Macaca fascicularis: one gene and its partners. The protein of the gene in region 2 binds, or shares a complex with, the protein of the main gene of each other region. Links are inferred from orthologs where the notes say so. Each region holds a gene or a part of one and is shown on either strand. Other genes may lie near its edges. The genes, in order: MAGOH, UPF3B, UPF2, EIF4A3 and MAGOHB.

Region 1 (6,300 bases), on a different chromosome or scaffold from region 2:
TAAATAAGATGCCATGCCTGACATCTAACATGCATTCAATGATATCAACTGCTTTCCCATGCTCCCTTTCCCACTCAGATGCAAATTAAATAGCTCTCCATTGTGTACTATGTGCCAGGGAATATATAGAGCACTTTAAGTATAACACATTTAATTTTATGACAGCACTTGGGAGTGGGAGGTAGCTTTTATTTTCCCTGTTTTTGCAGGTGAAGAAACAGAGATTTAATCAAGTTCAGCCAGGAACTTGCCCACTGTCACATGAGGTAGTAAGCAGCAGACTCAGGGTTCAAACCAAGGTATGTCAATGGTTACCAGTAATTGATTCCACATTGTAAAATAAAAAAATCCCAACTAAAAGATGATTTGGGAAATAATCCAGAAGCTGTCTACAGACATGTGTCTCTCTCCCTGTTCTTTACCTTTCAATACTAGATACAACAAAAACAATGCAAGACAAAAAGCTGAAATGTAGAAAATGAAGGCCTCTCAGAAGGCATACCTCTTTTCTGATCATGACATCATTCTTGTAATTGCTGTTGTTGGCATATCTTAACTTCCCTGTGGGGACAAAAGCCAAATTCAACATATAATAAAAACATGAATAAAGCATCAATACCATACCAAGACTATCGGCAGTTGCCTAAAATGTATCCAACTTGCTCAAAGTGTCTAAGACATTTATTATTTACTCTTAAGGTAGTTCAACAATACTAGTCTTTCAGTTCTTCACTTCAGGCTTAAACAGCCAAATATACAGCTGACACTCAACTACTGCAAAAAGCAGCTCAGGTGAGGTAAAAACACAGGCAGGCTCTTTTCTGACTTTGTCGAATCACATTTTTGCAGGTGAATGTCCTGAAAACAGGCAGAGTAAATGATAACTTACCAGCACATAGGACCTCCTGAGGCTCAAATGAGTTGTGAAAACATTTTGAAAACTGTAGGATGCTGTTTACATATATTATCATGTGACTGTGCCACACTCTATTTCTGTGATGGAAAAGTTGTTGCTTTTATCACTGAGCACATTTGGTACACAAGACCCTTTGTCCATGTGTGCGTCTAACAGGTTAATGTGAATACATGGTGGGGATGAGGAGAAGATAGAAGGAAACAGAAGACATGTAGACTAGAAGACATACATGTGAGATGAGCCCAGTGAATTTATTCCAACAGTCTCTGTGCTGTCTCTCTGCCTCAAGTTTCTTCACATTCAGTTCACTGTCCATATAGTGGACAAGGTGATGTGGTAACAGATCTATCAGATTAGGTTACTCTAATACTTTGATAAAGTCAATGGCTTTCCGCTGCCTTCCTGGTTAAAATCCGGCCGGGCGCGGTGGCTCACGCCTGTAATCCCAGCACTTTGGGAGGCCGAGGCGGGCAGATCACGAGGTCAGGAGATCGAGACCATCCTGGCTAACACGGTGAAACCCCGTCTCTACTAAAAATGTAAAAAATTAGCCAGGCGTGGTGGCGGGCGCCTGTAGTCCCAGCTACCTAGGAGGCTGAGGCAGGAGAATAGCGTGAACCCGGGAGGCGGAGCTTGTAGTGAACCCAGATCGCGCCACTGCACTCCAGCCTGGGCAACTGAGCAAGACTCCATCTCAAAAAAAAAAAAAAAAAATCCAAACTCCTCAACATGGCATACGGCTAAGCAAAGCCCCTGCCTGCTTTTCCAGCCTCACTCCTGCAATATTCTTCTCTCACACAGCTGGAGTCGAACAACTTGGTTTCTGCCTGAAACATCCCAAGCACTTTTTGGTTTTCAGCCTCTTTGCATGCTGTCTAAAATGCCTTCTTGACTCTTCTTGGTCTCCTAATCAATACCTCACATCCCCTCCTCCCATCATTTTATGTAGGAAGCCTCCTCTGACCCTCAGGCTTGGCTAGGTGCCCCTTCTCTGCTGCAAGTCTCCTCTGTTTCTTTTTACCACAACACCTAATACGCTGTTTGGTCCCTGCTTACAAATCCATCTCCCTCACAGTCGGGGCCTGTCAGATACATCTTTGTGGCCCGCTTAATGGATGTTTTCTGTCATCTTTGATTCCTCTTTCCTTCACCACAGTGCCTCCGCCAAAAAAATCCTATCAACGATCAAAGTCCAGTTGATTCTGCCTCCAACAGTTTCCTAAATCTTTCTCTCCATTTCTACTATCTCTGTAGTCCCAACCGACATCTTTTTTTTTTTTTTTTTTGTGACACAGTCTCGCTCTGTCACCCAGACTGGAGTACACTGGCACTATCTCAGCTCACTGCAACCTCCGCCCCAGGTTCAAGCGATTATCCTGTCTCAGCCTCCCGAACAGCTGGGATTACAGGCATCTGCCACCACGTCCGGCTAATTTTTGTATTTTTAGTAGAGGCGGGGTTTCACCATGTTGGCCAGGCTGGTCTCGAACTCCTAACCTCAAGTTATCCGCACACCTCGGCCTCCCAAAGTCCTGGGATTACAGGCGTGAGCCACTGCGACTGGCCCCCAACATCTTTCTTGTCTTGACAACAGTCTCCTAATCAATAGCCCTGTTTTCACTGTTGCCCATTCCGCACCCAATAACCAGAATGCTTTTTCAAGAACAGATCACATTTCTTCTCTGCTTAAAACCTTCCAAGCCCGGCCAGGCGCGGTGGCTCACGCCTGTAATCGCAGCACTTTGGGACACCGAGGCCGGCGGATCGCCCGAGGTCAGAAGTTCGAGACCAGCCTGGCCAACCTGGTGAAACCCTGTCTCTACTAAAAATACAAAATTAGCCGGGCGTGGTGGTGGGTGTCTGTAATACCAGCTACTCGGGAGGCTGAGGCAGGAGAATCGCTTTAACTCGGGAGGCGGAGGTTGCAATGATCCGAAATCGCGCCATAGCATTACAGCCTGGGCAAAAAGAGCGAAACCCGTCTCAAAAAAAAAAATAAATAAAATTAAAAAAGCCTTCCAAGTCCAAACTCTTTACCCTGGTCTATAAAGATCTACAAGGTGCGGCTCCTACTACCTATCCGACATCATCTCCTGCCATCTCCCAGCTCACCACTCTTCAATCACACTGACCACCTGAGACATGCCTAAGCTCATTCCCGCCCTGCAGCCTTGACTTCTGGTATTCCCTTTGGGTAGAATGGTCTTCCTTGTGAGCTTCACAAGGCTGGGTCCTTCTTGCTAATTAGGGCTCAGCTGCAATATACCATTAGAGCTCTCTAATGGCCAACCTATCTAAAAGCAGCCCATCCAGCGATTCTACCATATTTTCTGACCACTCACTGCTATCCGGAATCATCTTTTTATGATCTCTCTCCCAGCAGTAAAACACAAGTTCCACGAGAGAGGAAGTTTGTCTATCTTCGCTGTCGTATCCCCAAAGAGTGGAACAGAGCCTGGCACACAGTGGGCGTTCAGCCAACGTTTGTTGTATGGATAAAACGACGCCGTGGAGCAGACACAGTGGCGCTCCTTTCAGATCCGCACTGCACAGGTCTCAGCCCCTTCCTCCTCTAGTTCCCCACAGATTTCCGACCCTCGGCCTCCCCACTCGCCCGCCCCAAGGCCTGGTCCCGCTCCGGGCGGGCGGCAGGCTGCTTTTACCATCCGGTCGGAACTCAAACTCCAGGAACTCGTGGCCGAATTTGCCCTTGTGCCCCACGTAGTAACGCAGATAAAAGTCACTCTCCATGGCTCCCAAAAGACAACCGAGCCTGAACTTCCAACAGCAAGCCGCACTGCTGCGGTCTGCGCCCGACACTGACGTTTGCGGCGGCGCGCGGAAGTGACGTCAGATTACGCCGTCGCGTAATGGAGGGGTTCCTTCTAGCTAACCTATTCGCCCGGAAGTGACAACAAGACTGCCACACCCTCTCACGCCTAGGAGGTAACGAACTTTGTTTAACCCGGAGGCGGGGCCAACCAGCTCCGCTTCTCCACTTGGACGCGGGAGCGAGGTTGAGGTTGGTACCCGCTGGGTTCTCTCCCGGCCTGAGGCCGAGAGCCAGCCGCCTGCCTACCTCTGGGCTTTGAACGCGGGGTCTGGTGACTTCGCTTAAAGATCTCGGACCGAACACCCCGAGCCTTGCCCCCGCCAGGCTCAACCTCAGTTCACAGGACCCCCGACTTGTGTGAGTCGTACACCGCTCTTTACCGTCTCTGGACCTAGGTCATCTCGGCAGTAAAATGGGGTGAAATGACCCGACCTTCCCGGAGGATGCCGCGCACGATGTGTGTGCCTCAAGATGGCTTCCGTTGACCTGAACTGTTAAGAAAGCCCTCCTCAGTGACGCCTTCCCTGAATCCACAGTGGAGATTGCCGTTTCCCTGGAACTAGTTCACCCACACTTACCCATTTCGTCCTTTTCCACCTTTTATTTCTATCTTTCTGCCCCACTGATCTCTAGAATAGGTGCTGTGAGAAGTTAGAGTATTTGATCTCCCACTCCCCAGTCATCCCACTTACCGAGCAGTGATTCTCAGCCTGGCTGCACATTGGAATTACCTGGGGAGCCTCTAAAAATACTGATGCCAGGGCTCTACCCCAAGCCAATTAAAATCTCCAGCGCTGGAACTGGGCATTGGTACTCTTTGTAAAGCTCTCAGTTGAGGACCACTGACCAAAGAGACTCTTTTCAGAGCAAAGTTGTCCTCTGTGAAGCCATTCTGGCTCTGGAAAAAATTTACAGTTGAGTAGGGCCAGAGCAATCAAGATCATAATTATTTAATAGGAGCCTGCTCTCACTCGTCTAAGTTCCACACTTAGAGAGAATGAATGGTTCTAGAGACAGTGCTGAGATGACATCATTCTTGGGGCCTGGCAACTAGAACAGTATAAGATTCTGTAAGTCGGGACAGCAGTCTCTGATTCCTACCCCCAGTCTTTTTTTTTTTTTTTGAGACAGAGTTTTGCTCTTGTTGCCCAGGCTAGAGTGCAACGGCTGGTTCTCAGTTCACCGCAACCTCCACCTCCTGGGTTCAAGTGATTCTCCTGCCTTAGCCTCCCAAGTAGCTGAGATTACAGGCACGTGCCACCACATCCAGCTAATTTTTGTATTTTTAGTAGAGACAGGGTTTCACCATGTTGGCCAGGCTGGTCTCAAACTCCCGACCTCAGGCGATCCATCCGCCTCAGCCTTCCAAAGTGCTGGGATTACAGGCATGAGCCACCGTGCATGGCCCCCAGTCTTAACAATGAGTCCTTTTCTCCCTGAAAAAGCATTAGCAGCAGAGTGTAGAGTAGGTGTGGTGGGGGAAAAAAACCATTGGACACTGGTTAAAATAATCTTTTGTTTTAACAATGACTCATTGTAACCAAAGGTGAACTGACTCAACTTTTTAGACTTCAGAGTTTCCTTCTCTTTAAAATGAGCATAAAAACGTACACCTAGCAGAACTGTTATAAGAAACAATGTCTCGGAAACTGTAAATTGCTATAAAACCATGACATTTTTATTACAAAACACCGCATATTGGTAGTAACAAGGGAACTGTATAAAAGAGAAGGGGGCTAGACACAGTGGCTCACACTTGTAATCCCAGCAGTTTGGGAGGCTGAGGCAGAAGGATCACTTGAGCCCAGAAGTTTGAGACCAGCTTGGGTAACATAGAGAGACTTTGTCTCTACAAAAAATTTAAAAATTAGGTAGGTGTGGTGGTGCACACCTGTAGTCCCAACTACTTGGGAGGCTGAGGTAGGAGGATAATTTGAGCCTGGGAGGTCAAGGCTGCAGCGAACCATGATCATACCACTACACTCCAGCCTGGGTGACGAAGCAAGACCCTATCTAAAAAAAAAAAAAAAAAAAAAAAAAAAAAAAAAAAAGAGAAAAGGGAACCATCAAGCACCTAATAAATGTCAGCTCCTAGGCTGAATGGGATTACCTGTGCTTGTTTTTCGAATCATCACAACAATTTTGAGGTGGTAATTAGAGTTAAGTGTGTAGAGGGATTAAGCAATTGCTACAAGGTTATTTTCCAGGAGTAAAATTATAAAAATCATAAGTGAATCTGGGGATCTTCAGATGTGGCAAATAACAAAAGTGTTGAGAAATTTAAAGGACACACAACTCCAGTCAGGCTGTAAAGTAATCCAGGTTTCTGGATATGAGACGTGGTGTAACTGAAAGAGCATGGTCTGTGTGTGTCTGCCGTGCCTGCATTCAGCATCATTTATTGAGCATCCACTGAGTGTCATGTGCAGAGAGAGAGGATACAATGTTGGGCAAGACAGTTCTTTACAGAGCTTGCAGAGGAGGAAGTTAAGGAGCATACAAGCAATTACAATGTAAGGATAAGATTTCCAGTAAAGGAAGCACAGAGTAC
Region 2 (6,152 bases):
TGGCCACAGGAATAGGAATCCAAAAATAGGCTGGACATTTAGAGTGAAAAAATTTAAGTGCAGAGTCAGGGGAATATATTCTAGAGGTCAGCAAAAATGGGAGTTGGCCCTGAGGCAGCTTTCTGCCTTGGGCTCCTATTGCATCTTTACTTTGGTTTTTGTCCTCTATGGGTGTCTGTCTGTCTCTCTCTCTCTCTCTTTTTTTTTTGAGATGGAGTCTCACTCTGTCACCCAGGTTGGAGTCCAGTGGTTCTACCTCGGCTCACTGCAATCTCCGCCTCCCAGGTTCAAGTGACTCTCCTGATTCAGCCTCCCAAATAGCTGGGACTACAGGCGCCCGCCACCATGCCCAGCTAATTTTTGTATTTTAGTAGAGACAGGGTTTCACCAAGTTGGTCAGGCTGGTCTTGAACTCCTGATCTCAGGTGATCTGCCTGCCTCGGCCTCCCAAAGTGCTGGGATTACAGGCATGAGCCACCACGCCCAGCTAATTTTTTGTGTTTTTAGTAGAGACGGGGTTTCGCCAAGTTAGCCAGGCTGGTCTCGAACTCCTGACTTCAGGTGATCCATCCGCCTTGGCCTCCTAAATTGCTGGGATTATAGGCGTGAGCCACCACGTCCGGCCGACTGAAGTGCTTTCTATCATTGTGGTTTTACCTTTTCTAAAATTTCATATAAATGGAATTGTACAACATGTACTCTCTTGGTGTCTGGATTCTGTCACTCAACATAATCACTGTGAGATTCACTTATGTTGATGCGTATATCAATAGTTAATTTTTATTGCTGAGTGGCATTTCATTCTATGGCTGTACCATATTTTGTTTTATCCCTTTGCCTATTGAGAACATTTGGATTGTTTCCAGTTTGGAGTTATTATAAATAATGTAAAATTGGCCCTTTTTAAGTGAAGAGGGTGATCACAACTAAATCAAATTGGGTTTTATTTTTATTCCCTTCCCTGTGGGACATCAGTACCTGGGGAGAATGATCCTTTTGTAAAATAAGGTGATGAAAACAAATCTCGTATATTTTGGTCATATTACTCCTTTAAATATCAGTATCTTGTGTTTATTTATTATTATCCTTCTTTTTTAGATACAGGGTCTCGCTCTGTCGCCCAAGCTGGAGTGCAGTGGCGCGATCATGGCTCACTGCAGCCTCGAATTCCTGGGCTCAAGATCCTCCCTTCTCAGCCTTCCCTAGCAGCTGGGAATACAGGCGCGCGCCACTGAACTCGGCTAATATTGTAGTGTTTACTAAGTATCTGTAAATCCTAATCAATATAAGGAAAATAAATTTTTTTTAATGTTAGGCTCTTTCTTTGAGTTGTAGGAAAATAAATTCTAAAGCCTCTGAATTCAAAGACAAAATATACAAGTCGCTCCCCTAGTGAGGCAAAATTTGGACGGCATTGAGTTTATCCGATGGAAACTAAGCGTGCAGAACGTATCTTTCGACCTGAAAAACTCTGAAGATGAAAGGATTCGATTTACTTACAAACAGGGACCCTGAGATACCTCTGGCTCCTGAACGCCCAACAAAAGCGGGCAGCTGCTTTGCATGCCGGGACTTGTAGTCCCCGACAGAGTCACTTCAAGATGGCGGAGTTGCTAATGACGCGCGAAGGGGCGGGCCCAGAGGGAGTCTGCGCCGCGAGGGGATTGGGTGGCACAGGAACTTGGCGGGCGGGAAGTAAAAACCAGGTGTTAAAACCTTTGCACTGGGAAAGGCCCAAGTCTCGCGAGAGCTTGGCAGGCCCCAGTGGAACGTGGGGCCCGACTTATCATAAGGGGCATTTGTTGGGGGCGGAGCTTTGACGGGAGCTTCCCTGGAGCCGTTGGTGACCGGGGTAGCCCCGTTCCGGCCGAGCCGCTTCAGCGGGGGACGTAGCCATGAAGGAAGAGAAGGAGCACAGGCCTAAGGAGAAGCGAGTAACCTTGTTAACCCCCGCCGGGGCCACAGGCAGCGGTGGTGGGACCTCGGGGGACAGCTCCAAGGGGGAAGATAAGCAGGATCGCAACAAGGAGAAGAAAGAAGCGCTGAGCAAGGTGCCCGGTCGGCCGCTGGCCCGGGAGAGGGCGGGACGGGTCCGCAGCGCGGGGAGGATGGCTGGGAATGGGGCCGGCCCCTTTCTCTCTCAGGTTCCCCTTCTTCTCTTCGCCTGAATGGAAGTCGCACCATCCTGGTTTATCCTTTCTCCCGAAATGGGGAGAGCCCCTCCCGGCCAAATCCTGGGTAGGGGTGAGGAAAAGGGGGGACTCCCCAAACGGGAAGGGTTTAGGTCAGAGCTGTGAGGTGATAATGGGAAGAGAGAGCGACGGTATAAAGAATGAGGAACTAAAGGTGTAATTGGGGAGAAATATTAAATACTGAAGGAGACATCAGGGATGGGAATATTATTCATGGAGGCGAGTTGGGGGAGAGTTCAGGGTGATTAATGGTACGGGAGGGTAGATCGAGAGCATCCTATTTTGAGAGCAATGGGTGGATTTTTTGTATTCGTTAGAGTTTTGAATTCTTAAGTTCAATGGGCAAGGATTTTGTTTTAAGATGTGTTGGACGTGGGAGAAACTTGTTACTAAATCAAGATTTCGTGGCACCCACAAAGACCAGGGTTGGCTTACTAATTTCTTGCCACTAGATCTGTTAAAAAATGGGTGATCGAAAATGATGCACAAACCTGGTAAACTGCAGGGCTGCTGTAAAGAGCAAAACCTGAGATTTTTCCCTGCTCCAGGTGGTTCTCATTTCCAAGCGTTTTTTTTTTAAAACCGCGTTACTATTATCTTTGACTACTTCTGAGCATTGGGCTGCAGAATATTTTCTCCTGGGTTTTTACAAGTGATCTCATATTTTAAAAAGCCCAGTCTTCTTCAGGAACTGTGATTCTTTCAGGTATGAGAGAAAATTGATTTTTACTAATTTTATTTTCCTTATGCATTTCTTAAGGTGGTAATTCGAAGATTACCTCCCACTTTGACCAAGGAGCAGCTTCAGGAACATCTTCAACCTATGCCTGAGCATGATTATTTTGAGTTTTTTTCTAATGATACGAGGTAAAAAAAAAAAAAAAAAAAAAAAAAAAAGGAAAGGGGTAAATGAAAAAGGTTTCTTTCACTCTTTTTATCCTACTGTTTTCCATTTAATTTTTGAGCTTGTCTTTAATATATGCATACTTGTAATTGGGCCAGACACCTGCAAATACATTTACATAATTGCTTTCCTCTCTGCAGTTTGTATCCTCATATGTATGCCAGAGCATACATCAACTTTAAAAACCAAGAGGACATTATTTTGTTCAGGGATCGCTTTGATGGTTATGTATTCCTTGACAATAAAGGTGAGTTCTGGTAACTGAAATAAAAAGGGAATTTCTTTGTCATTCTTTGTCATTTGTATGTTTAAGACAGTGTGTGCATTGCGTTGCTTCCTGGGTGATAAAATGTGCAACATTTAAGTAAAGAGTTTTACACATTTGATAAGCTTGTTGCAGTCTTATAAATAGACATGTGACTTTTCACAGTCCTTGGTTACTTTTATTAACTTACTATTTTTTTAATTTGATCAACTGAGTGAAATTGCAACTGTTTTCTCCTCGTGTGACAAATTTTTTGCCCTGGCTTAAACCTGCTGTTTTGACTATAGAGTTTCAGCTGCAGTACTGATAAGTGACTCTTAAACTTGTTTGATAAGTTTTAAATATTTACTTCTTATTTTGCTTCAAAGACAAACATTTATTTAATTCAAATCCATTAAGCCAACAGTTCCCAGTTGGGATACTGTTGAACATTCTCACAAAGTTGTATATAATTAAAACATGAAACTTGATACATTGGCCGAGCACGGTGGCTCACGCCTGTAATCCCAGCACTTTGGGAGGCCGAGGCGGGCAGATCACGAGGTCAGGAAATCGAGACCATCCTGGCTAACACAGTGAAACCCCGTCTCTACTAAAAATACAAGAAATTAGCCGGGCATGGTGGCGGGTGCCTGTAGTCCCAGCTACTCGGGAGGCTGAGGCAGGAGAATGGCGTGAACCCAGGAGGCGGAGCTTGCAGTGAGCGGAGATCGCACCACTGCACTCCAGCCTGGGCGACAGAGCAAGACTCCGTTCCAAAAAAAAAAAAAAAAACTTGATACATCTCGGCCCGGTGCGTGGCTCTCGCCTGTAATCCTGTAATCCCAGCACTTTGGGATGCCGAGGCAAGTGGATCACGAGGTCAGGAGATCGAGACCAGCCTGGCCAACATGGTGAAACCCCGTCTCTACTAAAAATACTAAAAAAAATTAGCCAAATGCGGCGCCTGTAATCCCAGCTACTCAGGAGGCTGAGGCAGAAGAATCGCTTGAACCCGGGAGGCAGAGGTTGCAGTGAGCCGAGATCACGCCACTGCACTCCAGCCTGGCGACAGAGCCAGACTCTGTCTCAAAAAAAAACAAAAACAAAAACAAAAAAAACCTTGATACTTCTCTTACTTTATATCTAGAAAGGTCCAGTCTATAGGCAAGACACATTTCTGCTTTAACACTCTATTATATGCTACCTACAACATTTAGCCAGAGAATGTCTAAGCTGCCATTTGCCACTTTTCTTTTTGGTTTGCAATTATAGGTAAATAGTGTGTCTTCTTGTTTAGTTTTGTTTTTTTCAATATTCCTTCAAAGTTGGTAAAAATTAAATTTTTGTCAGGGACTATGCCAGTAAAAATTGAAGGATTGCCAGTGTTTATCCAACTTTTATTAATCTCCCCAAGCCAGCTATTTTTCCACTCCAACTATTTTATTCCAGTAGATATTTAACTAGATTCTAGTTACTTAGCCTGGAAATCTGAGTTGTGTTTAATTTTTTCCTTTTTTAAAATCTCTTACATGTAAGTTATGAATCTTGTCAATTTATTGTTTATCTTTTGAGACAGGGTCTCCACCCAGGTTGGAGTGCTGTGCCGCAATCATAGCCCACTGCAGCCTGGAATTCCTGGACTCAAGCAACCCTCCCACCTCAGCCTCCTGAGTAGCTGGGACTACAGACGCGTGTCACCATGCCTGGCTAATTTGCTTTAAATTTTTTTATAGAGCTGGGGTCTTGCTATGTTACCCAGGCTGGTCTTGAACTCCTGGGTTCAAGTGATCCCCCCACCTCAGCCTCCCAAAGTGCTGGGATTACAGGTGCAGGCCACCGTACCGAGCCCAACACCACTTATTAAAGAGACTATCCTTTCCCCATTGTGGTTTTTGTTTGTTCGTTTGTTTTGTTTTGTTTTTAAATCTTAAAGACAAGGTCTACTTATATTGCCCAGGCTGGATTTTATTGTTTTTTTAATATCTTGTTCACCTAGACTTTCAGTCACACTTTATGTTCTCATCATTTAATGTCTAGACAACCACTGTCTCTAAACTTACAGGATTTTCCATTTTTCCCATTCTTGTATAATTCAGTCTATTATATTGCCATGAAATTAATCTTTTTGAAAATAATGATTTAAACTAACGGTTGGGGGAAAAAAGTCCAAACTCCTTAGCCTGGTAGTCAGGGTCCTCCATATTCTGGCCTCACTTCTGTTTCTTCAGCCTGTCTTCCACAATTTCCCTCTGTTTCAGTCTGGTTTATCTATTCCTTCTCAAATATATTTTGGTTTTTGGTTTGTATTTTTGTTTTTATCATTTTCTTTCCTTTTTTCTTTTCTTTTTTTTTTTTTTTTTTTTTTTTTTTTTTGAGACAGACCATTACTCTGTCACCCAGGCTAGAGTACAGTGGCACAATCTTGGCTCATTACAACCTCCACCTCCTGGGTTCAAGCAATTCTCGTTCCTCAACCTGTCGACTTAGCTGGGATTACAGGTATGTGCCACCACGCCCAGCTAATTTTTGTAATTTTAGTAGGGATGGGGTTTTACCATGTTGACCAGGCTGGTCTCGAACTCCTGGCCTCAAGCAATCCACTCGCCTCAGCCTCCCAAAGTGCTGGAATTACAGGCATGAGCCACCATGCCTGGCCTAATATATCACAGTTTTGAAGCTAATCTGATTCTGTACTCACTGGGATTCCCAACATAATTTTTCCTTTATGACTGCTTTGCAGTGCCTTCTGGTCAATTCTATTTATTTTTATTTTTTTTCTTATGTCTATATGCCAGTGATTTAAGGATAG
Region 3 (5,685 bases), on a different chromosome or scaffold from region 2:
CTGCAAAATGGCAACTATAACAGCATCCAAACTAGAGTCTCTCTCAGAAGGGAATCATTCTTTGGATTCTCTCTGACGTCTTAGGCTGAGAGAAAAGAAACACTCAGAAATATTCAGGAGCAAAAAGAGACAAAAATGTTTTCCAAATTGATTAACAGACAAAAGTGCATAGCAGAGCCATACTTAGGAATTGGAGTCAAAAGTGAGTGAGGCCTGGGTGGCGAGGTCTGTGTGTTCACCCAGAACATGGAGTGTACAGTGCAGTATTAGAAGGTCAGGAAGAAAGGATCACCTGGAGCAGTGCTTCTAAACTTTGCTGAGCATCCATGTCCCCTGGGGACATTGTAAAGATGCAGATTCTGATTCAGTTGATCTAGGAGGAGGACTGAGATTCTACATTTCTAACAAGCTCCCAGATGAGGTCCACACTTGGAGTAGCAAGGACCTGGAACAGACTGGAGAGGAAGAGTAAAACTCCCAGAGGAATACCTGTTTATATACTAGTAAATTCTTGGGTTGGGGTTGTGCTTTCAGTTAATGTAAATTTAGGAATTAGAACAAATATAAAATAGAATGTGGGAACCAGGCTTGGAGTAGAGAGGGAAAATATCTACACAGTGCCATATACACAGTAGATGTTCCATAAATGCTTGTTGATGATTAGTGGTTTTATATATTTCAAAAACCGTATCTTCAGATACTTTAACTCTTCAAAAATCAAAGCAAGTAGTACAGAGAAAATAATGAACATTTATCACAACAATGGCTTTGAATTTGGTTATATTTGCAAAATTAAATATGGGAAATCAGTACCTTGTTTTGGAGTAGCTGAAAATTTATTTGGTATTTTATTTATAATATATCCTTGCCTTAAACTGTGACAGTTATAATAAAAAGATATTTAATACATTCACCAAATAGCTGAAAGCCTGTATAGACAGAGGGAAATGATTGGAATAAGATCATTGCTGTTGACCGTTAATAGAAATGGTAGGTGTCTTTTACAACCTTTTAGCTTAATAGTTATAACTAGGTAACAGCACAATATAGTTTATTATTTTTAAATATTTTGTTATTAATTTCTTGTAGCTAAATTTATTTTTCATTTGTTATCAGCGTTATGTTTGGTGGAAGAAAAGTTTGGAGGTTTGGACAAAAGACCATCCATTTCCTATTGATATAGATTACATGATCAGTGATACCCTAGAACTGCTAAGACCAAAGATCAAACTCTGTAATTCTCTGGAAGAATCCATCAGGCAGGTACAAGACTTGGAACGAGAATTCTTAATAAAACTGGGTAAGCAATTGATTATAGACAGAAAATGAAGGTGCTATTTGGCAGATTGTATCTGGAATTTGCTTTATAATGTTACCAGTCAGAGTTTACATTGTATCTTTTCTATTTTCAGTGTTGAGTGTAACATAATAGTGTTAGGTAATAGCCATGTGATGTGCTTGATTTCACTAGGTAATTTCAAACTGGAGAAAAACAGTTATGCAGTACTCACAGGACTTGAAGCAAGTAATAGTGATGGGAAAAAAAAAAACCGAAAACCACAATCCTGTCTACCTCTCTTAATTGTAGAATTTTTGGTTGCTAATATAAAATCTATTTTTGATTAAAGCATTACTTATTTTTGCAGTATATATTTTCAACAGGCATTATTTCCTAAAAAGTGCAAGGAAAGAAACTGTAGAAGGGAGTAACTGTCAGAAATTTGGAACTATCCTGCAGGGTAGGATTTCAGAGCTTACCACTGGCAGAGTTGCTTCTGTTTCTAAGGACTAGAGAAAATCTAGAGATAATTAGAAGGTTCTCTATATACTTCAGTATCCTGAGGTTGTTTTGGGGAGAAGAGTTAACTCTTGAATAGCTGCCATTAGAGCTGCAGGAACTTACATGTCTTTAGAAATAACCAGTACAAGGTATAGCCATACCAACCTGGTTTATATGCTGATAGTTCTTAGCATGTTTTATTGTAGTCATTTTAAAGTGACATGTTTTGGACAGTTGTGGTGGCTCATGCTTGTAATCCCAGCACTTTGGGAGGCCGAGGCAGGCAGATCACCTGAGGTCAGGAGTTGGAGACCAGCCTGGCCAACATGGCAAAACCCCATCTCTACTAAAAATGCAAAAATTATCCAGGCATGGTGGCGCACGCCCATAATCCCAACTACTCAGGAGGCTGAGGCAGGAGAATTGCTTGAACCCGGGAGACGGAGATTGGAGTGAGCCAAGATCACGCCATTGCACTATAGCCTGGGCAACAAGAGTGAAACTACATCTCAAAAAAAATAAATAAAATAAAAATAAAGTGACACGTTTTCATACTATTAAGCTAGTATTTGATTTCCCACTAGAACTTGGTACATTCATGTCTATCATGAAGGGATCTTTACCTTAACCAGTTATGCAAATTATATAAATTTACTACATTGCATATCTGAAGAACCACTTTTCATGGTAAAGGTTTTATAAGTGCTGCTACTGATTGTGCAAGTATTAACTTTTCCTGCAACTTAACCCGTAAAAGCATATGTGATTCTTTTTGTTCTTTGAACCTTTTTCCAAGTTACCTACTTTCTTTTCCTTTTGAAATTTCTAATTGAATACATGATCTCATATCAAGCAGAGTATTTGTGAACTTATTTCACTTGCTTTGGATCCTTGGAAAATTGTTAAGTCTTAGCCTTGTTTCTCAAAAACCTTAATGAATGGTACTCTCTGTATAGTGGACATGAGTAAATATTAGTGTGATACCTAGTTTGGTGACAGAAAAGAGAACAGTTGTGCTTTGTCCTTTGTAGATCAAAAGGCTAAAAAGGACTGCAGGCTTCTTGTGAGGACTCTGTCCTTGCTTAGAATATGAAGGTAAAAAATAGATCGCTGTTCATGAATAAAACTCAAAAGATGGTAGCAGCTGCAATCAGTGCACTCCCAAGTCTCCATTTGCTTCCTGGTTATAGAGTCTAAATATCAGGAAGAAGACATATGCAGAAAAATTGATATTAAATCAGTTTCCTACTGATAAACCAGAAGATAATACAGTATTGTGCTTTTGGTAGTTTTTTGTTTTCAGACACCTGAAAATTCATTGTCTTATGTTAGTTTTATAGTATCCCAATGTTAACATTGTAGTTAATTGGAAAATACTAAAACCATTTTCTTGTATTTTAAAAATAATTTTTAATAGTATTAAAAGTCATAAGTGTTCATGACAGTAATTTTTTTAAATACCAAGAAAACAATACCAATATTCCATACAGAAGGATAATCATGTGTTACTATTTTGATACATATTTTTCTACTCTTTTTAAATTTTTTATGTGTTTGTGATTTTATAACCAATTGGTTCTACTTAATACATTATGAAATTTTTTCTTGACATTACACATATTCTTTTAAAGCTTTATTTTTTGTTTTTTAATTGGCTGTGTTCATTTGTATCTATGTGCCATAATTTACTTCATACAGCTGTTTCACTCTTAGGTTGATACTGTTTCACTCTTAGGTTGATTCTAGTTTTATGTAAATAACATTTTTAGTGTACCTCTGATTTTCTCAGGATAGGTAAGATTACTGGCTCAGATTTTTATTTTAATTTAAGAACAAAACTAAAATGATAATAGTCAATATTATTTGAATTCTGGTTTGGAAGTGTTCAAACCAGTATTCATGAAATGAGAGGGTTAAATCATATCATCACTAAAGTTTCTTCCTGCTTGAATCCTCTCAGATTCTATGAATCAACAGGTATTTATTTAACACCTACTGTGTATTTATTAATATATGTGCTCTCAAGTTTTGAACATATAAGTTTTTTGTCCTCAAGGGTCTTATAATCTGATGTAATATTTATGTGATTATTAGGAAAAAAATAACAACGTAGTATATCATCAAATGTAAGATGCTATAAGTTCTCCACATGCTTTAGGAGCAAATAGGAGAAAAAGTAATAGATTGAAATACTCATTGACAGTTTATGCAGCAAGTAAAACTGAAACGGAACTTGAAGAGTGGATGGGATCTGAAAGTACGTATTGAAGGGTGTTCTCTATTGAGAAGGATATTGGACAAGCAAAATCTTAAAGCAGTGTGTTCTGTGACAGGAGATGTCTGAGGCAACTTCAGGGGAGGGCTTAGGAGAGAGGAGTGGGTAGCAGATCAGTGGGATCGGATGAGACCATATTGTGTGCATCTCAAAAGTAGAGAGGGTGGATTGGAATTCCAACAGGAAGAATTGACTAGGCTGTGAAATGTGGGATGGACACAGGAGGTGAAAGCAGATTCAGGCCAGGGAGTTCCATTAGGCTTAGGAGGAGAATGCTGTTATTGAAGAAAAAAAGTGAGTCTGTATGGTGACAAAGCTGCTATGTAGCTTTTTGCCCCATTCCCCCACATCTTAATTTGCATACATTCAAATTGATAGCCAAATATGATTTATCCATTAAAGTGGCACAATTTGTTTCAAGTCTTTGAGTTTTTGGAGACTCTTTAAATCTCATTTGGTAAAGAGTGTGGCCAACGCTGTATCTTACATATGGCTGAGACTGTACCTCCTCTGTTGCTGTTTTCTACCTTTGTCCAAGACTGAGATATATAAGATTATCCAAGTATTTAAAGCTGTAAGAAAAGAGGGAAAAGTATACACACATATACACTTATTTTTTGTCGCTTTTTGTTAGTGGTGTTTCTTTGTTGAAATGTAGGCCTACACATTTAGTTTTTAAAATGTCTCTCACCGCAGTTTTTAACTCTTTTACGTTTGTTCTGAGAAAATGGCTGTTGAATTATTAATGCATACTTTTACATGAATTGGTATAGTATAGAAAACTGGCCTGTATCTATTTTTAATGTATTTTCCATTTCCATCTTCTCATTTCAAGGCCTAGTAAATGACAAAGATTCAAAAGATTCTATGACAGAAGGAGAAAATCTTGAAGAGGATGAAGAAGAAGAAGAAGGGGGAGCTGAAACAGAAGAACAATCTGGGAATGAAAGTGAAGTAAATGAGCCAGAAGAAGAGGTGATGACTTTTATATATAGCAACATAGAGTACATTTGTATAAGAGTATTTTGATTATACGAGCCAAAATTTTTTTAATACATAAGACCTCCTCCTTAGTTGTTTTTTGTTTTTTTTTTTTTTGAGACAGAGTCTTGCTCTGTCGCCCAAATTGGAGTCCTGTGGTGCAATCTTGGCTCACTGCGACCTCTGCCTCTTGGGTTCAAGTCATTCTCCTGCCTCAGCCTCCCGAGTAGCTGAGATAACAGGTACCTGCCACCACGCCCAGCTAATTTTTGTATTTTTACTAGAGATGGGGTTTCACCATGTTGGCCAGGCTGGTCTTGAACCCCTGACTTCAAGTGATCCGCCCCTCACAGCCCCCCAAAGTGCTAGGATTACAGGCGTGAGCCACTGCACCTGGTCTCTTATTTAGTTTTATGATAGTAAATGTAACTAGTAGTATATTTCTATCATAAAACCCCTTGTTTAATTGAAAGTTTTTTTTTTGAGATGGAGTCTTGCTCTGTCCCCCAGGCTGGAAGTGCAGTGGCGCGATCTCGACTCACTGTAAGCTCTGCCTCCCGGGTTCACGTCATTCTCCTGCCTCAGCCTCCTGAGTAGCTGGGACTACAGGCACCCGCCACCGCGCCCGGCTAATTTCTTGTATTTTTAG
Region 4 (5,267 bases), on a different chromosome or scaffold from region 2:
CTAACACAAGCCTGGCAGCAGCTCCTGATGAGACCAGGTGAGCCTCAGTGAGCTCAGGCGCTGGCAGATACGGACATTGAGGCTGGCACTGGTCAGTGCTGTGGTGGGCATCACTCTGCACTGCTGCTGAGCAAATGCCCTGAACACACCTGTATCTGGTTCCTCCTTGCCAGGAACTCATTAAGCTGCCTGGGCTTGTAGTCTCATGCTCCTCCCGCTCGGCCAGCAGTGCCACCTGAGAGCCTTGTTAACCGCAGGTTCTCACTCAGCAGAGCCAGCGCAGGGCCCGAGCACTTGCATTTCTAACCAGCTCCTGATGATGCAGCTGGTCTACCAGCCACCAGCTGGCTAGCACGGGTCCAGTCACAGTTTCAGTAGAAGGAAGTTCCATTCATAAACTATACAATTTCAGATGCCTTCAAGTAGAATTACCTGATGAAATTTAAAAATACTTCCAAGCTCACCCTAACCCTGAAATGAAGATTATCATCCCAACCAATTTCGGGAAGGGAGGGGCCAGTTAGTTTTAACGTTTCCATTTCAAGTATTAGAGCCTGATCGGTGGCTCATGCATGTATTCCCAGCACTTTGAGAGGCTGAGGCGGGAGGACTGCTTGAAGTCAGGAATTTAAGACCAGCCTGGTCAACAGAGGGAGACTCTTGTCTTTAAAAACATTCAAAAAATTAAAAATTGGGCAGCTGTGGTGCTGTGTGCCTATAACGCTACATAATTACTTTAAATATTTGGACAGATAACTTAAATAATACTTTAATAATTTAAATATTTAAACAGATAATTATCTGTTTTGGTTTGTCAACACTGCGGCAAGTCATGCTCTTGCCACTATACTCCTGCCTGGGCGACAGACAGGGAGATCCTGGCTCTCAAAAAAAAAAAAAAAAAAAAAATTAGAAAAGTGAGGCCAGGCACGGCAGCTCACACCTGTTATCCCAGCACTCTGTAAGGCCAAGATGGAAGAATCACTTAAACCCATGAGTGACAGACCAGCCTAGGCCACAAAGTGAGAGACCCTGTCTCTACAAAAAAGTTAAAAATTAGCCAGGTGTGCTGGCATGCACCTGTGCTCCCAGCTCCTCAGGAGGCTGAGCTGAGAGGATCGCCTGAGCCCAGGAGGTTGTGGCTGCAATGAGTTGTGATGGTGCCACTGCACTCCAGCCTGGGCGGGAGAGCAAAACTCATCAACAATGAAACTCTCTCAAATTAAAAAAAAAGATTAGAAAAGTAAGTGAGATGGGCCGGGTGCGGTGGCTCACGCCTGTAATCTCAGCATTTGGGAGGCCAAGGCGGCTGCATCACGAGGTCAGGAGATTGAGACCATCTGGCTAACATGGTGAAACCCCGTCTCTACTGAAAATACAAAAAAATTAGCCGGGCGTGGTGGCGGGCTCCTGTAGTCCCAGCTACTTGGGAGGCTGAGGCAGGAGAATGACGTGAACCCGGGAGGCGGAGCTTGCAGTGAGCTGAGATCGCGCCACTGCACTCCAGCCTGGGCGACAGAGGGAGACTCCTTCTCAAAAAAAAGGAGACTCCTCAAGAAAAAAAGAAAAATTAGAAAAGTGAGTGAAATGACCCAAGACTACACAGTAAGTTACTAGAGAAGCTGGTGGCATCTTAGAAATATAGAGTTTATGGGAAAAGTTTTAAATTTTTAATGAAAAAGACTTAGAACAATGTATTATTTACATGTAAATAAGAAAAGAGCAGAATCCCCACATCCTCTTCGGAGGGAGACAGGAGGCCGTTTATGAGAAGAGAGTCCATATAAACCCCATTAAATAGAAGCTGGACCTAAATACTTCCAAACAGGAGTACAGAACAGGTGAACAGTCTTCACTCATCCCCTCGATCTGCTTCAGATCAGATCAGCAACTGAAAGTGAAGAAAGAAACAGATTAAGGAACAATACAAAAAAAAAAAAAAAAAAAAGAAAATTTGTAACGTAAATTTAACTAAAATCTCACAAGAGACTTCTCAAAACAAAAAACAGGCCAGGCATAGTGGCTCACGCCTGTAATCCTGGCACTTTGGGAGGCCAAGGTGGACAGATCACTTGAGGCTAGGAGTTCAAGACCAGCCTGGCCAACATGGTGAAATCCCATCTCTACTAAAAATACAAAAATTAGCTGGTTATGGTGCACGCATCTGTAATCCCAGCTACTCAGGAGGCTGAGGCAGGAGAATTGCTTGAACCCAGGAGGCAGAGGTTGCAGTGAGCCAAAATCATGCCACTGTACTCCAGCCTGGCTGACAGAGCAAAACTTCGTCTCAAAAAAAACCCACAACAACAAAAAAACAAACTCAAGTGCCCCAAACTAAGAATAGGGAAGTTCTCTCTACAATTCCAGTAGAGCTGGACGATTTCCTACCGTTCATAGGCATCTCATCGATCTGAGTGGAATAGTACTGCTCGATATCTCTGAGGATGCGGATGTCATCGTTCTTCACAAAGTTAATGGCGACCCCCTTCCGGCCGTATCGACCTGATCTCCCGATTCTTCAGGAATAAAACAATATCACAGTCAGTATCTACAGCAATCAAGATTTAGTAAATGTGTCACAGAAGTGAAGTCAATGAGAGCTTGCATCCTACCTGTGTATGTACAATTCTCTGTTATTGGGGAGATCATAGTTGATGATGAGGGACACCTGAGGGACATCCAACCCCCTGGCCCAGACGTCTGTAGAAATAAGCACTCGGCTGCAAAACAGAAAGTGTGTTTGAGGCGATTAAATTACTCATGCAAGTTTAAGACTGGACTTGCTTCCATTGCTAATTTTGAGGAATCCTGGCTACAAGTTCAAAAGATATGAGATTCCCCCTCACACCAGTCTGTCTGCAAACATGAAGCCTCAGGGACAGCACCAGAAATCCCTGTGCAGAGGAGCTGTTGCTGGATTTAGTTACTTCGGTCATGTGCTCCATCAGATTAAAAAAACAGACATCTTTTACTACACTACCTTTAACTTGTTTCGTCGGTCCTAAACCAATTAATTGGGAAAAATATTTTACTTTTGCCTAGCAACAAATTAAGAACAGTATCTTTGGCTGGGAGTGGCAGCTCATACCTGTAATCCCAGCACTGCCAGAGGCTGAGGTGGACGGATCACCTGAGGTCAGGAGTTCGTGACCAGCCTGGCCAACAAGGTGAAACCCCGTCTCTACTAAAAATGCAAAAAAAAAAAAAAAAAAAAAGCCATTCCAGCTACTCAGAAGGCTGAGGCACAGGAATCACTTGAAACCAGGAGGCAGAGGTTGCAGTGAGAAGATACCTGACCATGTGGAATTAAACTAATTGAAATGATGAACAGAAAACCCGTACTTACTGGAAAAGAAGACACACACTTGTAACCAAAGTGCCAACCTGGCTAGTTAAGGCTCGTTATCACCTCAACCGAAGTATTACAGGAGCACAGCGAACGTCTCATTAACTGGAAGGTTTTCTGCTCACCCAGGGCCTCAGCTTTCAGAGCAGGAGCTCGTCATCTCCCCAGCTCTGGGGCCTGCCTCAGGCAGTGCATATGAAGTGCTTAGCACACAGTCTAGCAAACCCTGACCGGCAGAGCCACAGCACAGCGGACCCACCTGGCGCCCGACCGGAACTCCTTCATGATGGACTCCCGCTCTTTCTGGGGCATGTCTCCATGCATTGAGGACACAGTGAAGTTGGCTTCTCTCATTTTTTCTGTCAGCCAGTCCACCTACAAATCCAATCAGCAGATGCTACTGCAAGTTCGTACACCAAACCAGAGATGTGCATTCGGGATTTTACCCCCATCATTTGCAGAACCAGTATCAATATTCACAAAGTAACTGCTCTTAAAACTCAGGATCATCCTAACTGGATGCACAAACTTTTTCCCAGAAAATGTTGGGGTGCACTCACAAAACCCTCTTACTTCATTTTCTCCACATAATGACTCTATGGGGGAGGGGGCCAGGTGTGCTCATTCTCATTTGAAATTTGAATTCCAGTCTTGTCAGAATGTAGCCCAATTCCTTTCCTTTCTCAGGAAAGTGGCCGACAGTCCTCAGGTCTGCCTCCACATTATCATCACCTGGGGATCTAAAACTACTCAAGCCTGGGTTCCACCTTCAACGAAATCTGAATCTTTCAGGGTGGCTGGCATCGCTGTTCTGTAAATAAAGTTTTAATGGTCACAGCCGTATCTGACCATTTGCATATTGTCTACAGCTGCTTTTGCAAGAGACCACATACCCCGAAAGCTTAAAATATGGACAAACTGGCCCTTCACCGAAAAATCTTGATTTAAGTCATTCAGAGACTCAATCTGCAATTCCCCTTCAAGCACATGGAGGCCATGCAGTACCTCTTACCTTTCTTTTGGTGTTGCAGAAGATGACCGCCTGAGTGATGGTCAGTGTGTCGTAGAGGTCACACAGAGTGTCAAATTTCCACTCTTCCCTCTCCACTGCCACAAAAAATTGCTTGATGCCTTCCAGAGTCAATTCATCACTGAAGGACAAAGACAAATCCTGTTACATCCTCATTCTTCCAGCTAGGACATGGTATCTGGTGCAGACCCAGCGCCCCAGCCCTATCCTCCATCCCATCAGCACTTCCGTCACACAGGTCTCTATTCTGTATCCTACTGAACATTTCACAATGTGCACCACGTGGAATATGATTCTAAACAAAACACTGGTAAGTAAATACAGTCATCTAATTTTTAAATTTAGAATTATTGGTTCAAACCACAATGAGTATTATAAAAGATGGGTTTTTTTGTTTTGTTTTGTTTGAGACAGGGTCTTGCTCTGTTGCCATGGCTGAAGTGCAGTGGCACGATCACAGCTCACTGCAGCCTCAGCCTCCTGGCCTCAAGCAATCCTCCCACCTCAGCCTCCTGAGTAGCTGGGACTACAGGCATGTGCCACCCTACCTGGCTAATCTTTTATTATTTGTAGAGATAGGGTCTCCCTATGTAGCCCAGCCTATTCGGTTTTTCAAAACAGGAATTTTAAAAGAATTTGCATGCTTTAAATTCCTTTACACTCAGGCAGGAGGATAGCCTGAGGCCCAGATTCTGACACCAGCTTCAGCAACACAGCAACACCCTGGCTATAAAAAGTTTTTGAAATTACGACATAAAATCCTTTATAAATGGGGCCCAGTGTTTTAGTAAACTCGACTAGAGGGGCTCCTACCGTTTCACCAAGATGCGGATTGGGTCGGTCATGAACTTGTTGGTCATCTCCAGAATCTCGTGTGGCAGCGTGGCACTG
Region 5 (6,352 bases), on a different chromosome or scaffold from region 2:
CAGGGGGAGGCCACAAAGCATCATCTTCTTTTGTAATTTCACTGTCATCAATAATTCTCTTCAGTTCTTCCATTACACTCTTGTGCACATAAGCCTAAAAATTAATCATAATAAAATTGGATAATGTCCACCTATGTCACCCCTCAACTCAGAAAGAAATAAGAGTTACAAACTCTGAATATTCAAATAGAGGAATATAGAAAAATTTAATTGATTCCAAAAGTAGAGAATGAGAGAGAATAATTTATCCTTGTTATATTACTTTTCTTCATCTCTTGCCCTTTCCTCTCACATTTATTTTTCCCTCTTCTCATCATTACCCATCTTTGAAACACTGTATTCTGCCTTTGTAACATTAAGATCCAAATACCCCCAAGTGGTTAGATCACAAGATCTATAAGGTGAACAGTAATAAATGCAAGTACACTGAAGCAGGAGAATCGCTTGAGCCTGGGAGGCAGAGGATGCAGTGAGCTGAGATCACGCCACTGCACTGCAGCTTGGGCAACAGAGCGAGACTCTGTCTCAAAAAATAAAAATAAAAATAAAAATAAAAATAAATAAATAAATGCAAGTGTAGTTCACAACAAGGTTAGTTCTCTGAACCTTCTCATTCCTATGGATGCAACCATTGTATCTAATTTAAATGGCAACTCTTTCAATCTGTAAATTGCCTTCTTCTTTACAATATAGCCTTAGATGTACTTTTGTAAATTCAACATAGACTTGAAGAAAATGGGCTAAATGCAAAAAAAAAAAAAAAAGACATTCGAATAGAACTTACCTCTTTTCTGATCATGACATCATTTTTGTAATTGCTGTTGTTGGCATATCTAAGCTTTCCTGTGGGAAATGGAAAAAAATCAATTTACAATAGCAAAAACTGCTAAAAAAAATTAATGACATCATATACAATTTTAAAGGTAAAGACCATTTTATACTACTTTTATTATTTCCTCCCTCCTTGTGTAAAATCATTGTTAGACATGTAGACAATAAATATTTGCTGGTTAAGTTTGCTGAAGTTGAAGATAGCCAAATATTTAAATAGTCTATGCCTACAACATATAGATATAGGGTCATTTTTACAGCCTATTTTCTTAAGCTACATCATGAACTAGAAAGAGAATCTGCAAAAGGCACTAACATTCAAGTTTGTTATATGTATGTATTGGTGTTAAGTGCGTTACACAGAGAATTTAATCTAATCTGTAAAACAATCCTAAAAATCAGGTTTTATTCTCTCACCTATTCATAAGAGAGAAAACAAAGTTAAGTAACTTAAACATGGGAGATTCAGACCTAGATCTACTTTCTTTTAATACTCAGGCTTTCTCCACTACAAAAAAATGTTCCTTTTTTTCCTTCAAATGTATGCATACAATTATACTGTAGACATTTTAGAATTATGACTAAGAAGGATACAAACGATGCTTCTGGATCGAAGTTGATGAGTTTGTTAGCTAGTTTATATTTAATTTTAATCCATCATGATTTGTGTATTATCTGATGTATGCTTCCCCTTATGGCTAGTCAGTTGCCCAGACACAGCTATAAGGTGCAGCAGTTACTCTAAAATGATAGAAATGCCAGTCTTTGATGGCTTGGCGCCAGGCGTAGTGGCTCACGCCTGTAATCCCAGCACTTCGGGAGGCCGAGACAGGTGGACTACCTGAGGTTAGCAGTTCGAGACCAGTCTGGCCAACATGGAGAAACCCCATCTCTACTAAAAATATGAAAAAGTAGCCGGGCATGGTGGCACATGCCTCCAATCCCAGCTACTCGGGAGGCTGAGGCAGGAGAACCGCTTCAATCCAGGAGGCAGAGGTTGCAGTGAGCTGAGATGCACTGCAGCCTGGGTGACAGAGCAACACTCTGTCTCAAAAAAAAGAAAGAAAGAAAAAAAGAAAAGAAAAAGAAAAAGAAAGAAAGAAAGAAAGAAAGAAAGAAAGAAAGAAAGAAAGAAAGAAAGAAAGAAAGAAAGAAAGAAAGAAAGAAAGAAAGAAAGAAAGAAAGAGAGAGAGAGAGAGAGAGAGGAAGGAAGGAAGGAAGGAAGGAAGGAAGGAAGGAAGGAAGGAAGGAAGGAAGGAAGGAAGGAAGGAAGGAAGGAAGGAAGGAAGGAAGGAAGGAAGGAAGGAAGGCAGGCAGGCAGGCAGGCAGGCAGGCAGGCAGGCAGGCAGGTCTTCGGGAGACTCAATATTACCAATAGAAGAAGTATGTGTAACAGTGCAGTGGCAGATACATTGATTAGAACCACTGTTCTAGCATAAAACTTCCCTGATAATATTCAGGTGCTTAATTTATGTGACCTGCTAAAAGTAATAGAGACAAGCTTGACGGTGTTCACAGGCAGAGGAACTGAAAATAATACTACATAAAGAATAGATGAATTCAGGTAAATTTAGCTGAATTTATGGGGAGAGTAAGGTCGAATACAGTGATTAAGGTTTCTAAATAATTGCAGGGCTGGCACGGTGGCTCATGCGTGTAATCCCAGGACTTCGGGCGGCTGAGGCTGGTGAATCTCTTGACCTTAGGGGTTTGAGGACAGCCTGGGCAACATGCGGAAACCCATCTCTACAACAACAACAACAACAACAACAAAGGAGATGGGCGAGGTGGCACTGGCCTGTATTTCCAGCACCTCGGGAGGCTGAGGTGAGGGATCACTTGAGCTTGGGAGGCGGAGGTTGCAGTGAGCTGAGATCGTGCCACTGCACTCAGATCTGAGTGACAGAGTGAGACTCTGTTTCAAAGTAATAATTGCAGGACTGTAGTTCACCTGAGTTCTGCCTGAAATGCTTGATACTCTTCTCCTTTCCTAATATACGTTTCTCCTCTAATTTTTTATTCTTGCTCTCACAGAACATTGTCCAAAGCCTGCTTATTAATATACCTACTGCTTTATAGTTAAATGTCTGTGTCCCCACCAAGACAAATCTCTTTGAGTTAAATTTGTCTTACTCATTAGTGTACCTTCAAATTTTGTATTTGCTTGTTGCCCAGCAAAAAACGTGCATTTAAAAAAAACCAAAACATATATATCCAAATGAACTTTCTTGTTGCAGGTAGGCAGGACCAATGTAACATTCTCTAATAGCGCTGTCAGAAAACAAATTGTTGCACGCTACTGGGGTAGCAGTTTCACCTCGTCCTCTGCTCTCACTGCTCTGGAAGTCTGTTTTTTTCTCTCAAAGGCCAAGTCTCTCATTTCGAGACTCATCTCAAGAGTGTCTTCCTCTAGGAAGATTTTCCTGACTCCCTCCTGTGGAACTTTACATCTCCCCTCTTTTTTGGTACTCTTCATGCGTCCTGTGGTGAACAATTATACGTAGACACCTAAAACATATTATTATTCTCATTTGTTAACACGTCGGGCTCCTCCCCTTCAAAGAACACACACAGCCTGAATGAAGAAAAGGTACTGGTCACCACAAGATTTTATTCATCCATTGGACCACCCGCTGATGGGGGTGTTTTCAAAAAAGTGCTAGCATTTTTAATCCAGGTCAACAATCTACAGAGTCCCTTCTGGTGCAGTTACAGAATTCTGATTACTGTAAGTTCGACTTTTCAGTTTGCGACAGGATTAGCTTTAATTTATTGCAATTAGTTCTCTTTCATTTATAAAACCAACTTAGGCCTCCTCTATTCTTAAGCTCCTATTTCCTTCGAGGGAAGCAGTGGCCTCCGCCCCCTGTACCCTCCACACCACCCGGCCTCCCCTCGCCTCCTCCACGGCCTCTCGGTCTCGCTCCCCTTTCCCAGCACCGCGTGCCGTGGGCCTCTTCTCACCGTCCGGCCGAAATTCGAACTCCAGAAACTCGTGCCCAAACTTGCCCTTGTGCCCTACGTAGTAGCGCAGGTAGAAATCGCTAGCCATAGCCATTTTTGTCCCCGGGAAGCCCGCCGAAAACCCAGCCAACGTGTCCCCCGGCGCCTTGTAGTCACGTCATCGCGCGGAATAAGTGCGTCACCACAGGCGCTTCTCTTCCGCCTGCCTTGCAGCCCTGGACTAAAGCGTGAAAGCCGAGTCTCGCGTGAGAGGCCAGTTGGTGCTGAAGGGAGAGTCGCATGCCGTGACTTTCTCTTTACTAGGATTGGAGGCACATTATTTTCAAAATAAAGATCACATTATATTAGCAAATATTAGAAATGTGAGCATATGATAGTATTTTTTATCGACTTAGAGCTAAATTAGGTTTGCAAGTGGCTTTTACTTTTCTGGTCTCCCAGTCCTCGGGGCGTTTGTGAGGTGGGTGTGGCTCTATTCCCCCTTTAACTGGGAGCTAAATAAAGATAAAGCTTAGAATAGAGATGGCAGACCGGGAATATAAACCATTTTTCTTACTTGATTTCGAACAGGGTGCTTTCCCCTTTGAATAACGATTGGTAGTTGCCCCGGACCTATAAGCCTATAATAATAGAGACAAAGTCAAAGGAATCCATCACAGCAAAGAACTTAAGAGATCTCATTTGATCTCTCAAGAATTCTGTGAGCTTGGCAATGTAGATTGCTGTATATGCCTTAGGCTGAAGAACAAACAGGCTTAGAGATAGTCACTAGCCCGAGGTTAGGTAGCTGTAAGTGTTGGGATTGAATCCCAGGTCTTCTCACCACCACTTTCTACTAAAAATCACTGACGGTAATTTCAGTGGGACAAAACTGGCTTAAAGTCTTAAAACACACACCCCCTACGCCTGAAAAACCCTGACTGTCACCGTGCTGTTTTTTAACAGCAGAACTTCTATGGTTCTTAATTCATTCAGTAAGGGTTAACTTTTAGTAGCCTGTGGAGTTTTGGCAATTTGACTTAAGATACAACAATGGTTTAGCCCATTACTGTTTCTCGCCAGATATAATTAAATTGGAGGAATGAAAGAATGCTCCATTGTGGCATAGTTTTTAAGGTAAGGGAAAGACTTTTACACAAAGTCTGCTTTTTAAATATTATTGATCACCCTTTTGTTATCAACACACAGAGTAATCCTCTCTGCTGGTTGACAACCTTCAGTGATTTTTGTAGAAAGTGGTGGTGAGAAGACCTGGGATTCAATCCCAACACTTACAGCTACCTAACCTCGGGCAAGTGACTCTCTAAGCCTGTTTATTCATCAGCCTAAGGCATATACAGCAATCTACATTGCCAAGCTCACAGAATTCTTGAGAGATCAAATGAGATATGTAAAATAAGCTTTAAATTTTATAAAACGTTAGTTTTAACAAACATTTCCTATGTGACAGTTTGAAACTAGAAATAAAAAGGCATTTGCACTGGTAGTCTAGAAAAGAAAGCAAACTTGTAAGGCAAATATTGGCACAATGGATCAATTGCTATAATTAAGAATATATGTGCCATTCTGGCCAACATGGTGAAACCCCGTCTCTACTATAAATACCAAAAACTTAGCTGGGCGTGGTGGCGTGTGCCTGTAGTCCCAGTTGCACGGGAGGCTGAGGCAGGAGAATCGCTTGAACCCGGGAGGCAGAGGTTGCAGTGAGCTGAGATGATCCCACCGCACTCCAGCCTGGGCAACAAGAGCGAAACTTCGTCTCAAAAAAAAAAAAAAAAAAGGAAAGGAAAAGGAAAAGAAAAAGGAGGAGGAGGGAGGGGGAAGGGGAGGAGGAAGAAGATGATACGTGGCCGGGCACAGTGGCTCATGCCTGTAATCCCAGCACTTTGGGAGGCCAAAGGGGGCAAATCACCCGAGGTCAGGAGTTCAAGACCAGCCTAGCCAACATAGCAAAACCCTGTCTTTACTAAAAATACAAAAATTAGCCAGGTCTGGTGGCACGCGTCTGTATTCCCAGCTACTCATGAGGCTGAGGCAGGAGAATCGCTTGAACCCGGGAGGCGGAGATCGCGCCATTGCACTCCAGCCTGGGTGAGGAAAGCAAAACTTCGTCTATATATATATATACATATATATATATACACACACACACATACACACACACACACATACACACACACATTTATATATAAATATATATTTTATATATAAATGTGTGTGTTTGTGTGTGTGTGTAAAACATGCTGGTAGTACAGCAGAGGAATCAAGAGCATTCTATTGCAGAGTAGGTAAATTTGTAAAAAGAGTATTGGAGAAGGACTATCAACGGAAGTATTTGAATTGGACCTTGAGAAGTAAGTTCTGTTTATGTTCAGTGGGATGAAAAAGCATTCCAGGCAGAAAATGACCTGAGCAAAGACAGTGGGTGAAATGCATATTTTGGGAACACCACGAAATTCGGTATAGCTAGAGCATAAGGTTTAAGTAGAATGACTAAAAAGGCAAATTGAGCCACTTTTCCTTGAATCCATGTTAGTACTTATATAACTATTAGTAT

What was found.
Region 1: UPF3B (region 2) and MAGOH share a complex: the UniProt entries of both Homo sapiens proteins name them as parts of the mRNA splicing-dependent exon junction complex. The link is inferred for Macaca fascicularis from reciprocal best matches to the Homo sapiens genes UPF3B and MAGOH.
Region 3: the proteins of UPF3B (region 2) and UPF2 are in contact, whole or in part, in a crystal structure (PDB 7NWU), measured with the Homo sapiens proteins. The link is inferred for Macaca fascicularis from reciprocal best matches to the Homo sapiens genes UPF3B and UPF2. Residues at the interface, in NP_542199.1 of Homo sapiens: Lys52, Arg56, Arg57, Tyr79, Glu81, Phe83, Asn85, Asp86, Thr87, Ser88, Leu89, Tyr90, His92, Tyr94, Arg96, Tyr98, Ile130, Glu132, Pro135, Phe136, Lys138, Ala139, Ala140, Arg147, Asp148, Lys150, Val151, Gly152, Thr153, Ile154; in NP_056357.1 of Homo sapiens: Lys767, Arg768, Pro769, Pro770, Leu771, Glu773, Tyr774, Lys777, Lys790, Arg793, Gln794, Arg796, Lys797, Leu798, Pro799, Trp800, Gln801, Cys811, Ile814, Asn815, Trp817, Tyr837, Gln838, Glu839, Asp840, Ile843, His844, Val846, Asp847, Gly848.
Region 4: UPF3B (region 2) and EIF4A3 share a complex: the UniProt entries of both Homo sapiens proteins name them as parts of the mRNA splicing-dependent exon junction complex. The link is inferred for Macaca fascicularis from reciprocal best matches to the Homo sapiens genes UPF3B and EIF4A3.
Region 5: UPF3B (region 2) and MAGOHB share a complex: the UniProt entries of both Homo sapiens proteins name them as parts of the mRNA splicing-dependent exon junction complex. The link is inferred for Macaca fascicularis from reciprocal best matches to the Homo sapiens genes UPF3B and MAGOHB.

Annotation. Positions count from the first base shown.
Region 1 is NC_088375.1:181,432,992-181,439,291, reverse strand, and holds the start of MAGOH (protein mago nashi homolog), read right to left. Parts: upstream 3,738-6,300; 5' UTR 3,668-3,737; coding exon 3,580-3,667; intron 562-3,579; coding exon 503-561; intron 1-502. UniProt on the Homo sapiens protein: Required for pre-mRNA splicing as component of the spliceosome. Plays a redundant role with MAGOHB as core component of the exon junction complex (EJC) and in the nonsense-mediated decay (NMD) pathway.
Region 2 is NC_088395.1:126,202,517-126,208,668, reverse strand, and holds the start of UPF3B (regulator of nonsense transcripts 3B), read left to right. Parts: upstream 1-1,818; 5' UTR 1,819-1,895; coding exon 1,896-2,051; intron 2,052-2,952; coding exon 2,953-3,059; intron 3,060-3,236; coding exon 3,237-3,343; intron 3,344-6,152. UniProt on the Homo sapiens protein: Involved in nonsense-mediated decay (NMD) of mRNAs containing premature stop codons by associating with the nuclear exon junction complex (EJC) and serving as link between the EJC core and NMD machinery.
Region 3 is NC_088383.1:12,861,672-12,867,356, reverse strand, and holds part of UPF2 (regulator of nonsense transcripts 2), read left to right. Parts: intron 1-1,116; coding exon 1,117-1,300; intron 1,301-4,890; coding exon 4,891-5,030; intron 5,031-5,685. UniProt on the Homo sapiens protein: Involved in nonsense-mediated decay (NMD) of mRNAs containing premature stop codons by associating with the nuclear exon junction complex (EJC).
Region 4 is NC_088390.1:86,539,170-86,544,436, forward strand, and holds the end of EIF4A3 (eukaryotic initiation factor 4A-III), read right to left. Parts: coding exon 5,190-5,267; intron 4,498-5,189; coding exon 4,359-4,497; intron 3,722-4,358; coding exon 3,606-3,721; intron 2,721-3,605; coding exon 2,613-2,720; intron 2,517-2,612; coding exon 2,389-2,516; intron 1,892-2,388; coding exon 1,875-1,891; 3' UTR 1,648-1,874; downstream 1-1,647. UniProt on the Homo sapiens protein: ATP-dependent RNA helicase. Involved in pre-mRNA splicing as component of the spliceosome. Core component of the splicing-dependent multiprotein exon junction complex (EJC) deposited at splice junctions on mRNAs.
Region 5 is NC_088385.1:10,339,343-10,345,694, reverse strand, and holds the start of MAGOHB (protein mago nashi homolog 2), read right to left. Parts: upstream 3,952-6,352; 5' UTR 3,890-3,951; coding exon 3,796-3,889; intron 844-3,795; coding exon 785-843; intron 95-784; coding exon 1-94. UniProt on the Homo sapiens protein: Required for pre-mRNA splicing as component of the spliceosome. Plays a redundant role with MAGOH in the exon junction complex and in the nonsense-mediated decay (NMD) pathway.